Linked DNA regions of Lepisosteus oculatus. The protein of the gene in region 2 purifies or fractionates together with the protein of the main gene of each other region. This does not show direct contact. Links are inferred from orthologs where the notes say so. Each region holds a gene or a part of one and is shown on either strand. Other genes may lie near its edges.

Region 1 (7,958 bases), on a different chromosome or scaffold from region 2:
CATCGACACGGGGTACCAGAACGGGGCACAGCAGTGAGGCCCCGACACAGCGCTCACAGAGCAATGGGGCACCAAGACATGACTCAGCGCTCACAGAGCAATGGGGCACCAAGACATGACTCAGCGCTCACAGAGCAACAGAGCACCGAGGCCCAACTCGGCGCTCACAGAGCAATGGGGCACCAAGACATGACTCAGCGCTCACAGAGCAACAGAGCACCGAGGCCCAACTCGGCGCTCACAGAGCAATGGGGCACCAAGACATGACTCAGCTCTCACAGAGTAATGGGGCACCAAGACATGACCGAGTGCTCACAGAGCAAACGAGCACCAAGACATTGACTCGGTGCTCACAGAGCAATGGGGCACCAAGACATGACTCGGTGCTCACAGAGCAACGGGGCACTGAGGCCCGACTGCAAAGCCACTAAAGTTTACGAAAATTAAGCGAGCAGCCACTGCCTCTGCCCACATCAGAACAACAACAAAGTGCAGACATGTTTGCCGCCACTGAGCCACTCAAATATCGACTGCAGAAGCTCTGCAGCCACACACAGGAGATCCAGGACTGAGGGAGGAGATCCCTCACTGAGAGCACTGGGACAAATCTCTGTAATAACCTCAACTGGGATGTGCAAACTGTTGAGGACAACCCCCCACAATGAGAATTCTACAATCTTGCTGTTTCACCGTATTCCATGCAGGCGCTCAGAGGGCCACGCGCTGTGCTGTACCTGCGTGAGCAGCATGAAGGCGTTGTCGGCGCGCAGGTTCTTCTTCAGGAACTCCACACAGTGAGTCTCCAGCGCCGGCACGGCGTATTTCTTGGCCGTGTAGAGTGTTGTCATCACCGTCTCCGGCCCGATCTGCACCTCGTCTGAGTACAGGAACCTGGCACACACAGCGCAGGAAACACACTTGGATCACCCAGAGCAGAGAACACGCCTGGCACACGCAGCGCAGAGATCACGCCTGGCACAGGCAGCGCAGAGATCACGCCTGGCACAGGCAGCGCAGAGATCATGCCTGGCACACATAGCGCAGAGATCATGCCTGGCACACGCAGCGCAGAGATCATGCCTGGCACACGCAGCGCAGAGATCACGTCTGGTACACGCAGCGCAGAGATCACGCCTGGTACACGCAGCGCAGAGATCACGCCTGGCACACGCAGCGCAGAGATCACGCCTGGCACACGCAGCGCAGAGATCACGCCTGGTACACGCAGTGCTGCGAGGATAACACTAGAGCTCTAGACTTCAAGGCCAGGGTCAGGGGCAGGAGTGTGAGCTGGAGCAGAGCCAGGGGCAGGAGCAGAGAGAAAGACAGGGGCAGGGGCAGAGATAGAGACAAGGGCAGGGGCAGGAGCAGAGACAGAGACAAGGGCAGGGGCAGGGGCAGAGACAAGGGCAGGGGCAAGGGCAGAAACAGAGACAGAGACAAGGGCAGGGGAGGGGCAGAGACTCTGGCGTGGGCTGGAGCAGGGGCAGAGACACACAGGTCGTGAGACAAACAGTCACTGACACAGGGGCAGAGACACACAGAGCGCGAAACAGTCACTGTCACAAGGGTAGAGACACACAGGGTGCAAGACACAAAAGTCACTGCCGCAGGGGCAGAGACACACAGGGGGCGAGACACACAGTCACGGACGCAGGGGCAGAGACAAGGGCAGGAGCAGGGGCAGAGACACACAGTCAGGGACGCAGGGGCAGACAGGCGGACAGCGAGAGGGCTGGTGTGACCGAGTCTCACTTTAGTAGCGCTAGGAAGGCGGCGGGTTCGACGTCCGGCAGCTCGATCTCCGTTGAAGTGGTGGCCATTCCCCCGTTGAACATGGCATCAAACACGGCGCTGCCCACGGCCAGCACAAACCTGCCACAGACACACAGGGGAATCCGGACATGTCCTGCAGAAACACGCGCCACGCCTGACAGCGGGTCGGGTCGGGTCCTGTTTCGGACATTCATTTCATTCTCCACTGTCTACAGTCTCCCCTGCAGCTCGGACTATTTCTGCCCTGGAGTCTGCGTGTGTGCACAGACCTCGGCATGGTCCTCACCCAGGACACAGGCAGTCTTTATAATAATAGTATATAACTGTCAACACGATCTGCACGGCACGCTTTTAAAAAGAAATGTCCGGTCCTTTAGCTAAAATACTGCGCACAATAATCACAGCAAAACATCCGTACGCAAGACGCAGAGTTTTGCCGTGATAATCATACAGTATATTTTTAAAGCGCAGTCACCGTCAGTGCTGCATGTCGCAGCCGGCTCACCTGTGCGCAGGTATGCGCTGTACCCCCATGCCCTTCCCGACCAAGAAATGCACGTCGCTCAGGACTTCGTTGTTGAACAAGAAGGCGAATCTCTCCTTCACCGTGCTCTTCGTTGCCTGCCAGTTGTACACGGGCTCCCGGTACACCAGCACGGCGGCGGCCGCTGCAGGAGCCGAGGGCAGCGCGGACGGCGTGACCGAGGCCGAGGCTGCGGCTGCCGTCTCCCCGGCGGCCGCGGCCGCAGCGCCGGCGCTCTGAGCCGAGCCGCCCTGCGAGGAAGCGTTCTGCGTCGCCGGGGTAGCGCCAACTGCGGCACCGCCGCCTGCGCCGGGGCCCGGCTGGGGATTGCAGTGCCCGCCCGCTCCCTGCACCCCTCCCGCAGGCCCCGGCGATGCCCCGGCGCTGTTGGCCGAGGCCTGAGCGCTGTTGTTCGACTGCACGTTGCCGAGGGGTCCGGGGTTGGAGAAATTCAGACACGGAGCTCCACCGCCGCTCCCACCCGCAGCCATCTTGGAATGGAAGAGACAGGCGCAGCAGCGCATCGCCGCACTGCACGGCTGGGATCGGACTCGGAGCGCATCGCCGGGGAGAGAGGACAGCGGCGGGCTAGGGGGGTGGCCAGGTTTCTGCTCGCAAGCCAGACGCCGTGCCTTGGTTTGATGAGATTAGATATTTCTCGGCGTTTAGTGCAACAACACCCTCCTGTCAAATTCACGCTCTGCATCGTCATCGTGTAATTTTTATGCAGAGGTTGTTACCTCGGGAGTGACGGTGGACTCGGATATCAGGGCAGGAGCGGGCTGTACCACAGAGAGGTCTGGTGACCCCGATGTTCAGAGCAAATTTAGGATTAAAAATACACGTTGCTTTGGAAGGGAAGCCAGGAGCAGGCTGCACAGTTGAAGAGGGTGGGATGGTGGTGACACAGCACTCCTGCCCTGGCCCAACTCCTCTGGAGAGCGAGGGAGCTCCTGCTGAGCCCTGGGTAGCCTTGCAAGTCCTTCGGTAATCTTTAATTACAGAAGTAATCTGGGTTGACTGAACAATGAAGGGTCAGTTCTGAATCTAAGGGAAGAGCACTGTAATGGCTGGATCCTGGGAAGTGGTGTGGCTGAGCCCACACTGCCAGCCTGGTCACCCCAGGCCAAACCCTCTGCCAAGTCACCCAGCAGAGCACCGACTGGGGCAAGTCACCCAGCAGAGCACCCCAGAGCACCGACTGGGGCAAGTCACAGCCTCCCTCCTGGGGTTCAGAGCAGGGGTCCACAATGTTAGACACCTAGTGGACTGGACAGCCTGCAGATACACTGCAGACTCACTGACCCCTCCAGGACCAGGACTGGAGAACCCTGCAGACACACTGACCCTCCAGGACCAAGACTGGACAGCCTGCAGACACACTGACCCCTCCAATAGCAGGACTGGAGAACCCTGCAGACACACTGACCCTCCAGGACCAAGACTGGACAGCCTGCAGACACACTGACCCCTCCAGGACCAGGACTGGACACCCTGCAGACACACTGACCCTCCAGGACCAAGACTGGACAGCCTGCAGACACACTGACCCCTCCAATAGCAGGACTGGACACCCTGCAGACACACTGACCCTCCAGGACCAAGACTGGACAGCCTGCAGACACACTGACCCCTCCAATAGCAGGACTGGACACCCTGCAGACACACTGACCCTCCAGGACCAAGACTGGACAGCCTGCAGACTCACCGACCCCTCCAGGACCAGGACTGTAGAACCCTGCAGACACACTGGCCCTCCAGGACCAAGACTGGACAGCCTGCAGACACACTGACCCTTCAGGACCAGGACTGGACAGCCTGCAGACACACTGACCCCTCCAATAGCAGGACTGGACACCCTGCAGACACACTGACCCTCCAGGACCAAGACTGGACAGCCTGCAGACATGCTGACCCCTCCAGGACCAGGACTGGACACCCTGCAGACACACTGACCCTCCAGGACCAGGACTGGACAGCCTGCAGACACACTGACCCCTCCAATAGCAGAACTGGACACCCTGCAGACACACTGACCCCTCCAGAACCAGGACTGGACACCCTGCAGATACACTGACCCTCCAGGACCAGGACTGGAGAACCCTGCAGACACACTGACCCTCCAGGACCAGGACTGGACAGCCTGCAGACACACTGACCTCTCCAGGACTGGAATTGTGGACATATTTATATACTGGATAATATATACATTGTATATGTAAAGTGGGGCTAAAATATTACCGTTTTGTTTCACGTGAAAACAAAAATGTATAGATACATTTAACTCTTAGAAAAGTTTTATTGACTTTGTTTCAAGCAAATCTCAGATTTAAATATTAGAATTGAGAACCTTGAGAAGTTGAAATCCTATTTAATGTAAAAATGTATGTTATAAAATCACATTTCGCAATTCTCAAGACCCAAAACAAAACCGACAAACTATATGGTGAACCGCTTCCGTGACTGACACCCATATAACCCAATAGAACGCGTGCTTTATCGCGCTTGCCCAATCCAGGCTTCCCGATAACTTTTTATAAGAAGCAGACACCCCGCCTCCCGCGAACCCCCAGAGCCAATCAGAGTTTCGGATATCCGGAAGAGCCAATGGAATGGCTCAGGGCGGTATGATAATTGCCTTCCCGGAGTTTGGTTGAGAGGGCGGATAGCGAGAAGCTGTGGGTTGTCGAGAGGTAACTGTGAAGTTTTTTTCACCGTGTTTTATTGAATTATCTGTGTGGAAAAAAACGTGGTTTCGCCATAGAAAACTCTAAAACTTCGAGCGGCAGAGCCGAGACCCGCTGTAGGGCCCCACAGGTTCGGTTTTAGCCGTGAGAGATGGACGAAGCGTAGGATTATGCGCTCTTTTGTTAAAAGCCTGGTTATTTTAACTCCACCGTGAGGGGGGCCGTGCTGTAGCAGACGGAGAAAAAAAGATACAAGCTGCTGTGACTAATTTATATTTTTGATTTATATTTTAGCTATATAACAAGTTCGTGGTGGATTCTGCCTTTCATATTTGAACCTCTGTACCTTGTCTACCTGAATTATTATAATTGGGACCAGCGCGGAACCGTTGGGGGCGCAGTCGCGATGTTGTTTGAAATTGGGGTGTTTGCTGGTCGGGCGCTGTTCTGTGGACGGAGGGAGCGGACTGTGCGGGTCTGACCTCCTCACCTCTGGCGGTCGGGGGTCCGTCCGGCAGCTCCGTGTTCTGGCCTGACTGTCCCTGAGTGGGGTGTGTGTGTGGGGGGCTCTGTGTTTGTGACTGTGTCTGTTCTCTCCAGGCAGGTGCAGGGATGTCTCAGAACACTAAGCACCAGCAGGGCGGCGCCACTGAGTGAGTACACAGGGGCAGGGGCAGGAGTTGGGGCAAAGGTGGGGTAAGAACTTGGGCTGGGGGCAGGGGCAGCTCTGTCTCTTCCTTGGGTTGAGTCATTTCAGATCCTCAGCTGTGTCTCAGCTGGTAATCCTTCTTCCCCAGCCCCTCGCGGAGCTCTGCCATGAACGGGGGGGTGTTTATCGCTGGCGGGGTGAAGCTGGAGCAGACGGAGGTGGGGACCCATCGTGCCCACAACCCCCCCGAAAGCGAGGGACCAGCCGCCGGCCAGCCGGGCCGCGCCCCCGAGGAGGAGGTCAGGACGGCCGGCCGGGCGCGCGCGACTGACCGCCCCGGGGCAGACACGCTGACCCCTCTCTCCCCCCCCAGCCCGTGAAGAAGCGTGGCTGGCCCAAGGGCAAGAAGAGGAAGAAGGTGCTGCCGAACGGGCCGAAGGCGCCGGTGACGGGGTACGTGCGCTTCCTGAACGAGCGGCGCGAGCAGATCCGGGCGCAGCACCCCGACCTGCCCTTCCCCGAGATCACCAAGAGGCTGGGCGCCGAGTGGAGCCGCCTGGCCCCCCAGGAGAAGCAGGTGAGCGTGCGGGCGGGGCGCCACGCGGGGCGGCTGAGCTGAGCTGTCTCTGTGTGTCTCTGTCTCTCTCTGTGTGTGTCTGATCTCTATCTCTCTGGCTGTATTCTGTGCTGTCTCTGTCTCTCTCTGTGTGTCTCTGTCTCTCTCTGTGTGTGTCTGATCTCTATCTCTCTGGCTGTGCTCTGCTCTGTCTCTGGTCTCTGTCTCCCTCGGTCTGTCTCTCTGGTTGTGCTCTGCTCTGTCTCTGGTCTCTGTCTCCCTCGGTCTGTCTCTCTGGTTGTGCTCTGCTCTGTCTCTGGTCTCTGTCTCCCTCGGTCTGTCTCTCTGGTTGCTCTCTGGCTGTATTCTGTGCTGTCTCTGTCTCTCTCTGCGTGTCTGTCTGTGCTCTCTCTGTGTGTCTGATCTCTATCTCTCTGGCTGTGCTCTGGTCTGTCTCTGGTCTCTGTCTACATCGTCTGTCTCTCTGGTTGTGCTCTGCGCGGTCTCTGGTCTCTGGTCTCTCTGGCTGTGCTCTGTGCTGGTTCTGGTCTCTCTGGTCTCTGGGTCTGCTCTGCGTCTCTGGCTATGCTCTGTGCAGTTTCTGGTCTCTGTCTCTGGCTGTGCTCTGCGCTGTCTTTGGTCTTTGTCTCTCAATTCAATTTCCATTCAAGATGCTTTGTTGGCATGACCAATGACTAAAATCAGTGTAGCCAAAGCAAAATAAAATTAACATAAAGTCTACAGACAATTACAGACATTTCCAATGCAGATACAATCATAATATATTTACATATAAATATATGGAGCATTATTGGGAGACAGGCTCACTGTTCCTCAGGGTGTGACGAGATCACACACTGGTCTTCCAGTTCAACTGAGTTCCCTCCTCCCTCTCCCAGTAGGATCGGGAGTTGTTGTGATTGTGGCAGTTATGAGAATTTTGGGATTAGATTTGTAAATTTAGGGAAGACTGTTTCTCTAATCCCAGAGTATCTGTCACAGTGCAGTTGGAAGTGCATCTCTGTCTCTGTTTCTCCCCGCTGGCAGTAGGAGCACAGCCTGTCCTCTCTGGGCAGCCAGGTCTGCCTGTGTCACCCAGTTTCTATGGCCAGGCTGTGGTCACTGAGCCTGTACTTCGTCAGGGTCTGTTTCATTTTGCCATTACTTATGTTGGTCAAATATTCAGGTAGCATGTATTGTCTATTTTGGATTCTGTAGCATTCCAGTTTGTGTGCGAGTGTCCCAGTGTGTGAGATATTGCTGTTTGATCTGTGCTGTGATGTGCTTGGGTCTGAGTTGTGATGCTCTAGCAGTGCTGTCCTGAGGCTGGCTGGTGTCGGTGTGGCTCAGGCCAGTGAGCCTCAGGACCAGCTGGCTCAGGAGGCTCTTTGTTGGGCTCAGCTCTTGGCTCAGCAGGGCCTTGTGGTGGTAGGGGTTTTGGTTGCTGCTTTTTAAGTATTACCAATACTTTATTACTCTTTTTTTTTCTCTGCACATGGATGATGTTTCTACAGATCTCCATGTGCAGAGTTTCTATGGAGTGTTTGTCCCATTAAGTGTACTCCTGGTCTATGAGGAGACCCCACACCTCACTGCCTTGTATTACAATTGGTTGGATTACACTTTCGAATATTTGCAGCAAAATCTTTATAGGGGAGCTGATGTTGTAGAGCCTTCTTGTAGAAAACCATGATTCTGGTCTTGTCCAGATTGCCTGTCAGGAAGACGAAGGTCTATCAGTACTGCTCCAGCAGTGCCAGGTTCTGC
Region 2 (7,990 bases):
CTGCATGAATTGAGGTAAGCTGGTTTGTGTTCATCTGCATTTTATCTATTGCCTGCTTTAGAATGCCAACTCCCCTTAGTGGCTGTGGTGAAATAAACAGATGAAGTTAGAAGTGTTAAATAAAGTTTCAGTATACTTGGACAACACATAAGAGCAATAACATTTGGACAGATGATCTAAAATAAATTTGTACTAATGTGATAATATCGAAAAGCGTTTAATACATGCTTTAATATCTGGATAAACAGCCCTGTAGAAAGGTTGCTCAATTTCAATGTTAATGAAGCTGTCTCATTTGTGATATTTTGTATACATCTTCATCCGTTTCTGATTTACCTGTTTCCGTTCTACGAGAGCATTTGTTAACTGATGGCAGAGGCCAGCAACTGCAAGACAAAAACAAAGGAACAACGTGGCTCATACTAGAACAAAATTAGAAGAGTCTGACTAACACTTAATCTAAAGCACATGTAGAGACTTACAAGTGTCTGTTGCATATCTGATGTGCTCTCCATTGCAGGTGCTGATGAAGAGCTGAACCTGCGAGAATAGCGTTTCAAAATCGGGGATGTTTGGCATGGAAAACTTGACAAATCTGCAACACGTAGGGAAAAGAAAAATCACAAAACCAGGAAAACGTGTTTGAAGGCTGTTTCAGCCGCCTTCACATTGAACCTGGGCCAATTAAAAAGGCAAGCCATCTAATAGATTCTATACCTTAGGTGTGACTTGTTAGGAGTTAAAATGAAAGAAATCCAAAACTGGAATCAATTTCAATTCACATCTTGGGGACCTGTTGAATCCCACAGAGCTGCTTTCATAGACAGACTTGTCTTCGTAATATCGTCAATACTCAGTTTCAGCCAGTGCTCTCAAACCAAGTTCATCAAAGGTCTTGCGTCTTATTATTCTTGTTCCAAAATATATAGTCAATTAACCTCATTATTTTCTATTGTGTATTGTGTATTAGACATACACAAAATATTTTACTGTCCTTACAGGTATAGTTACCTAGAAATCAGCTCACAGCCTGATTAGAAGTACTATATTACAATTATGCAGCTAATTGAATAATTTGATCATCTATGTAACTGTGGAGACGATTGGAACAAAAACTAAAATGCACTAGGCCCTCCTGGAACACTCTTCTATTTGAGATCCCGGTTCTAAACTAACTCACTTATTGCCCAGATAATTATTCCCTTTTGGACTTATTGTCCTATTGGCGTTTAAAGGAAAATCAAACAAAATATTCCCGTCTCTGCGTCATTGTCGAAGTGCAAACTTACAGGACTGCAAGAACACCGAGCGAGTGCTCCTGTATGTCCAGCGCCCCAAGAACTGTGTCTAAATGGGACAGGTTTTTCGCCAGCAGCTCCCCGCTCTTATTTATCAATTCGCACAGTTGTGTCATCTGACCTGAAAAACATCCACGACATTCGCCAAATTACTCTACACAGAAAAGCACGTTTGGGCTCAGTGCACGACGTGGGGTGTTTTGTGCTTGTTGTAAAAATAGGATCAATTTCAGAACTTTTACCTTTGCGCCAGTTTTGCTTGCTCTAACATTTGTGTTGGAACTCGAATCAAAATGAAATGCTTCCCGGGTGCAATTGACAGGTCACGATTCATGAGCTTGGGGACGTTGAAAGGACAGAGCCTCTTGATTTGAAATTAGTTATCGCACAATATTTCTGCTCACTTCCCAACTACGCTACGGCCTCTTAATATAGAAGCTACGGATTTTTTTATGTAGAGAATTTGAGAAAATGTCACTCCGTTTTAAAGCTGTGAACGACTGCAGGACGTACTGAAAAGGATAAAACACAGCCTCATCTGCTAATACCAGATTCAAATCAAAATAAGGTACCCATTTCTTCATAGCGGTTTAGTAGCACGGGTAATTAGATTTAAAATCCTGTCTAAATTTTACACTCCCTTTTATTGTGATCTTAATTAAACATTACGGCAGGTGCTGAACATGCTGACAGCTTTACTTTCACAACAGCGAAATCACAGAGAACAGGGGACGTGCTGGCTTTATCAAACCCCCTGTTAATCAACGCAGCACCATTCTCTAGTGACATTTAGAGACACTTTCAAATAAAACCTCTTGAAGACAGAAAGCACAGATTCATTTTTTTCAGACACACACAACTGCCATCTAGAAATGGGTACATGGCATCTGTTTATAGCGCAGGTTTGATGACATGACATGCCTGCATGTACAGACCTGAAACTGGTAAATTAGTTTTACTGGGTTGTCACTGGTTGTGATGGACAGGTTACCATTTACATAAACCTAGTAACCGGGAAATAGCGTATTTAATGGTCGCCTCATCATCTTAATTATAAAGAAACGTACGATTTGTAGTGCTGCTCCTTAGCTGCGTTACAGGTACTGTATGTTATGACATTAACCAGCATGAGGCCTGCACACATTTATCACCGGAAGTAACCCCCCACCGGGTAAGTGACAGGACAAGCAACCAATCACAGCAGCGCTTTCGACAGCTAATCCAATAAAAGCCCACTTGGGAGGAACTACCTGTCGACATACGGTTAGAAACATTTTCTCAAGGAAAAAGGGGAACAAAACTGCCTTTTCATGTTTTGTCGTTAAGCGTCTATCTTTGCTTTAATGCACCCGTTCAAAATACAGCTTTGCCAAGAGCTGAAAACGGAAAGGACTGCGAGACTCGCGTAAAAGCCAGACTTGTTTACATGATAAAGCATTTTTTTAAAAAAAAAAATGCAGGCTCCGTGCTGCAGCTGAAGGATTAATAATTACTAACAGCTTCTGGGGGTGGGAGGCCAGCCGCTGTACCTACCCTGAGCCGAAAGCTGCCGAACGTTATTCACGAACTGCTCCAGAGCTGAAGCCATTCTTGCCTTCTGCCGTTTTCGGGGTTGTCGTTCTCAATCTGTTCTCATTCAAATGTCAGGAGTAGCCCAGCGTGAGGGGGCCCACAGAGCCGCCACTGACGGGAAATATCGCGAGAGGCTCGAGGACTGCCGCTGCTGCCGGGATTTCAGGGCACGAGCCGCTCGCGCCCTTAAAGCTACAGTACAGGCGCCAGCGCGTTCCGTCTCCAACGGTCGCTCCCCTCCAGCCTTACCGGCCGACCGTTTTCGTTAAAACTTTTGTTTTTAAGTCTGTGCATTGAAACGCAATGACAGTCAAGCAGCACCACGAATGCTGTTGAAATCTGGGAAGTCAAATTTCCCCAAATAAAGTATTTCCTTTACAGAACTTTTTCAAAAGCTTGGAACTCCCTTATCTTGAAAGTCTTTACAGGTCCATGGTGGCGAAAATCATGTTGTCCTGGGAAAATCATAGTTAGCTGGGGGATTGAAGGTTCCCAGAGGCTGTGTGGGTGTTTTTTTAATTGCTGTAAAAACATTTCTTATCGGTTGCAAAGCACAATACAGAAAGGCCTGGGGAAATGCTAACGTTGCGCTTTTAATAGGTAAATACCCTGTTTAACCTCTATAGCTGCATTGAATAAATGTTCAAAATAGACAACATCTATTGCTTAGATTTAAATTTTTATTTAAACCTCAGAAATACAAAAAAAGGAGACAAGATATTAAAACTGATACAGAAATAGACACTGCGCAACCAGAGGAATTCACAATTATAAAAGCTGAACAATTAATTTTTTTACACATTTCCATTATATGTCTTATTTTACTGCCCGAGACATTATGGCGTGTTTTATTTATTTTTTTTAATCTCTCTTCGGTCACGTTTTCCTTTAAGAGTGAAAGGAGGCCAAAACACGGGAAGGCTAGTACTACCGGGTTATAGGTGGGGTTTGTTTTTCCCAAAAGGGAGTGATCTGCGGCAGGACTGGTTTGCAGTCCGGGGTGTGTGGGCGGCATGGCATTTTACTACTGCGGGCCTGGCTCTTTGAAATAGTTGCTTAGCTACCAGAGATAAATTGCACTGTTGTGAAGAAGGCCACATGTGCAGAGAGGGGCACGGACAGGCAGTGGGGAACTAGCCGAGATTAACTCCATTTTGCCCAGTTGAAGTATTTGTACGAATCAAGCACCCCTTGAAGACATGCAAGCGGGGCTGGCAGAGGTCCCGGAGGCAGGTGTAAAACGCTGGGCTGCGCATAAGAAAAAAGACCGACACCTGTTTATGCCCTTCTATATTTTGCATTCGGTTTTTAAGTTTTAGGTATACCCCCCAATTTAAATGCAACTCAATTGTGTTTGCAGTTGTGCGGTTTGCTTGTTGGCTCCAGGTGGACCTTTGGACACTCTTGTCGTTGCCCCTTACATATATAATTAACATGATTTTATTGCCTCGAATTTTACCCTTGCGAAAGGTGGAACATGTTCTGAAACCTACGCAGCTCAGGTGGCTTGCTGGTCCTGCAGAAAAGATGCCGGTTTCCTTTCCTAAAAGGCTGCGTGTTTTAGTGGATATGGATGGAGTCATTGCAGACTTCGAAGGAGGGTTTTTAAAGAAATTCAGGGCCAGGTATCCTAACGAGCCTTACATTACTTTAGAGGATCGCAGGGGATTTTGGGTCTCAACCCAGTACGGACACCTGAGGAGCGATCTCTGCGTAAGTGTGAATAAATGCACGTTTTGTAACGTATTTCCAAATCATTTCGTATTTTTATTACTAACACGTCGTTACGCTTGCACCAGGAGGAAAATATATGGAATATATTTTCGTAAAATAAAAAAATATATATTTTGAGCATGTATATGAGACGCCTGAGGCAGTTTCAGCTTGGCAGTCGGAGCTAAAATCGGTACTCGGTAAGTGAAATTTCAGCAGGCTAAGAAATCCGAAACTTTGTTCAAAGAATTTCCTGCAGGTGACGACATGCACTGGTGAACTCACGCCTGGTGTTTCTGCAGTGCTTTTTATTCGAAATTCATTTCTGTTTACCTTACTTCCCCTAAAAAGTCTCCTTAGAAAATGTCTCGTGTTAAAAATGTCTCTTAGGTCTTTCAGGGCGAAATAATAAAAAAAAGAACACGCTTAAGCATTCCTTTAAGCAAAGTGTGAAGTATTTCAGAAGTAATTAAGTAAGGGTTTTACATAAGAGACAGGTGTGCGATTACATGTCACCTGCATGGGTAGGATTAATTTGAGTTTCAACACATTACGTGCTTAATGTGAGATCTCAATTCTTATCTTCCATTGAATGTCGTTTTGCTCTATGCTGTACAGCGGGAATCTCCACACCCTGGTCCCGGAGAACACCAGTCCAGTTAATTTTACGGACCGGCAGTTTCTAAAGAGGAATTAACAAGTGTTATCCACAGTGATCAATTTAAAAAGTATTCTGCTAAATTGAGATATCTGGGCTTTGAGGATTGAAGAATATTTGGACCGCAGCCCAAAATGATCACTAAATTACCTAATTTAATAAATCACCTGCGTAACTTAAATAGTTGTATGCCGAAGTTTTTGATCAAATTGCATGTTTCAACCTCTGCAGGGTACAAACCTAAACGTGACCAATTTCTGCACATTTTAATGCACAATTACTCTTTTGTTTGCTTACTTTTATCAGGTCGAAAAAAAAATAAAACGAGTAATGAGGCATGTGCAAAAGTTTGATTCTTTAATACTTTTTTTTTTAAGGCCAGAAAACGCGATGGACTCATTAGGCCTTAAATGAAGCCAGGTGAATACACTCCCAGAGTTAATCCTCTGACCCCTCTAACCTCTCAGGATGCTGTGCCTACTCTCAACAAGCAAGCTCCCTAAGCAGCTGACTAAGGACTTCAAAATTAACCTTTTCGTACAACTATCTTTTAACTGCTAGTTTGATGGCTACCTAGGAACCTTGCTGGACTAGAGCTCTTCAGGACCAGGGTTGGTTCCTCTTACTGTACAGGTATCGCTTCTGCTGTGATCTTCATCTCCATGGTATCTTTTTAATCAAGATTATATTTGAACAAAAATAGTTGCATATCAATGGTAAAACGTGAAATACAGGAATAGGAATCCCTTCTACCCATCTTGGTGATGGGGGGGAGGGAAATAAACTTACTGTACAAAGAAAACTGCACAAAATCTGATGTCTTGTTGTATTGACCTGTTTCGGCAACTAATTCCGAGAAAAAATCAGAAGTTGTCCTTTGTGATAATCAAGAGACTTTTGCTTTAGAGCTCTGCCAACAGTATTAACCTAGCCTGTCTTCTCAGTGCTAATAATGGAGTTGCTCTGCTATTTCCTAAGTCAGCAGAGGTCTCTGTTATGAAGAAAAAACAGCTGCACAAATCCTCAATATTAAAGATCAGGAACATCTTAATTGATAACAGAAGTCATTATCATACTTCTATGACAGAACAGCTGACTTGTCAGTCTCTGGTTTGGTACTAAAATGATATTAACAGCACCAGGAATGTCCTGTTAATATCCGTCCATCACTATCATTATTAGTAAACAGATGTACAGTAGTGTCTGTGAAAGTCAGTAGGCCCATTAATGATATGTTTCATTTAGAATGAAAAAAATCAAGACATGGTAAATGTGATTTTTAGTGAAAGTGAGCAGATAATACAAATTAGCCTTGTTTATACAGGGTCATCGATTTAGTTTTTATTATGGGGAAAAAGGTGTATTTTTAAATACAGATCCTGACTCTCGCATGGGATTTGATGTTTTATACCTCAGTGTACTTAGCACTTGAAAGGCGTACAGAGTTAACGGACATACTGTAGCAACAATTAACAATCTTCAAGGTTGTCTCGGTGGGAGTTTAAATTAGTGTCATTTGATACAACCGAAACAATGAATAAACCAGTTTAGAATCTGATTTCTCTTTTAAGCTTTGTGCATCAATAGGTTTCCAGGCCTGAAACATTTATTTCACAGCAATAATGATTGTTTTTGAGACGTCCTAGGAATTTCTCAGGTTTTTAATCATTAGCGTTTTGTTTTTTTAAGAAGTCAACTCCTGAGATTTTGTACTGGGTTTCACAGGGTTTCCACAGGGGCCCTGTATACTGCCAGTCACATTTAGCAAATAGACACTGAGTTGACCTCATTGTTTGCAGGAGAAGGCTATCAGCATATGGGAAACTAAGAACTTCTTTATAGACCTGGAGCCTCTTCCCGGTGCTGTGGTAGCTGTGAAGGAGATGTCCAAGCTTGAAAAGTAAGTCTTTTTTTTAATGAAGCTTTTGATCCCTATACATAAATCCACTGAAAGTCAAAAGAAAGGATCACTTGTCCTTGCTACAGATTTATTAAGCTATCATCAGGAAAGATGTTTTTTCTTCCAGCAGGTACACTGACACTTACAGTACCAAGAAAGTCAGGTCTGTTACAGGCTAGTAACGTGTGTGGTCTCTGTTTGAAGCCCTGCAAACTGTCAAATGGTGAAGTGTGTTTTTTATTAAGTTGCAGGTGTTTTCTTTTGGAACTCTGTCCCTTTCCTCTTGTACACCCTAGGCATGCATTTGCCTTTACACAAAGTGTGCTACCCAAAGCCCCAATGAGTGGCTCCACCAGTGAAGTACCTTGCCCAAGTGTGGGTTGGGTTGAGGGTTGTGGTCCTGGTGGTCCAAGTCAATTCCAGTCCTTTCCTGTCTGCCCCGATTGTTCCTTGTTTCGTTTTTTTTTCGACGGCGACATTAATTATCATGACGTAAGCAGGGTTTCTGAGCCAAAAAAGTCTGTTCCAGGACAGCTGACATCCAACTTATAAGCAGTGGTTCTCTTTCTTGTAGCTGAATTAATTTTAACACATAGAGTGATGACAGATGTTTCATTTCTTACACATTGTATATTTTATTCTTTTTCAGCACAGATGTTTTTATTTGCACCAGTCCAATTAACAATTACAACCACTGTCCTTATGAAAAGGTACGTTTACCCTTGTATGTATTCCACCTTTAGTACTATCAAGCATGCTCATCCTTATTTTTTCAGCATAAAATTTATTGTAATTCTTCCTTTTTAGGTGCATTACTGTAAGCCACACAAAATAAGAATCTACTAATGC

The links.
Region 1: the proteins of cops3 (region 2) and btbd2a purify together in Homo sapiens (affinity purification with mass spectrometry; 3 studies listed by BioGRID and IntAct, counting the BioPlex papers as one, with this or other methods). This does not show direct contact. The link is inferred for Lepisosteus oculatus from reciprocal best matches to the Homo sapiens genes COPS3 and BTBD2.

The regions. Positions count from the first base shown.
Region 1 is NC_090724.1:9,090,333-9,098,290, reverse strand, and holds the start of btbd2a (BTB/POZ domain-containing protein 2), read right to left. Parts: upstream 3,016-7,958; 5' UTR 2,824-3,015; coding exon 2,282-2,823; intron 1,876-2,281; coding exon 1,756-1,875; intron 892-1,755; coding exon 735-891; intron 1-734. Other genes in the region: hmg20b (SWI/SNF-related matrix-associated actin-dependent regulator of chromatin subfamily E member 1-related), read left to right, coding at 5,599-5,639, 5,784-5,934, 6,009-6,212.
Region 2 is NC_090714.1:4,819,449-4,827,438, forward strand, and holds the start of cops3 (COP9 signalosome complex subunit 3), read right to left. Parts: upstream 3,003-7,990; 5' UTR 2,887-3,002; coding exon 2,832-2,886; intron 1,420-2,831; coding exon 1,290-1,419; intron 596-1,289; coding exon 483-595; intron 387-482; coding exon 337-386; intron 83-336; coding exon 1-82. Other genes in the region: 5'(3')-deoxyribonucleotidase, mitochondrial, read left to right, coding at 4,305-4,583, 7,041-7,141, 7,791-7,851. UniProt on the Homo sapiens protein: Component of the COP9 signalosome complex (CSN), a complex involved in various cellular and developmental processes.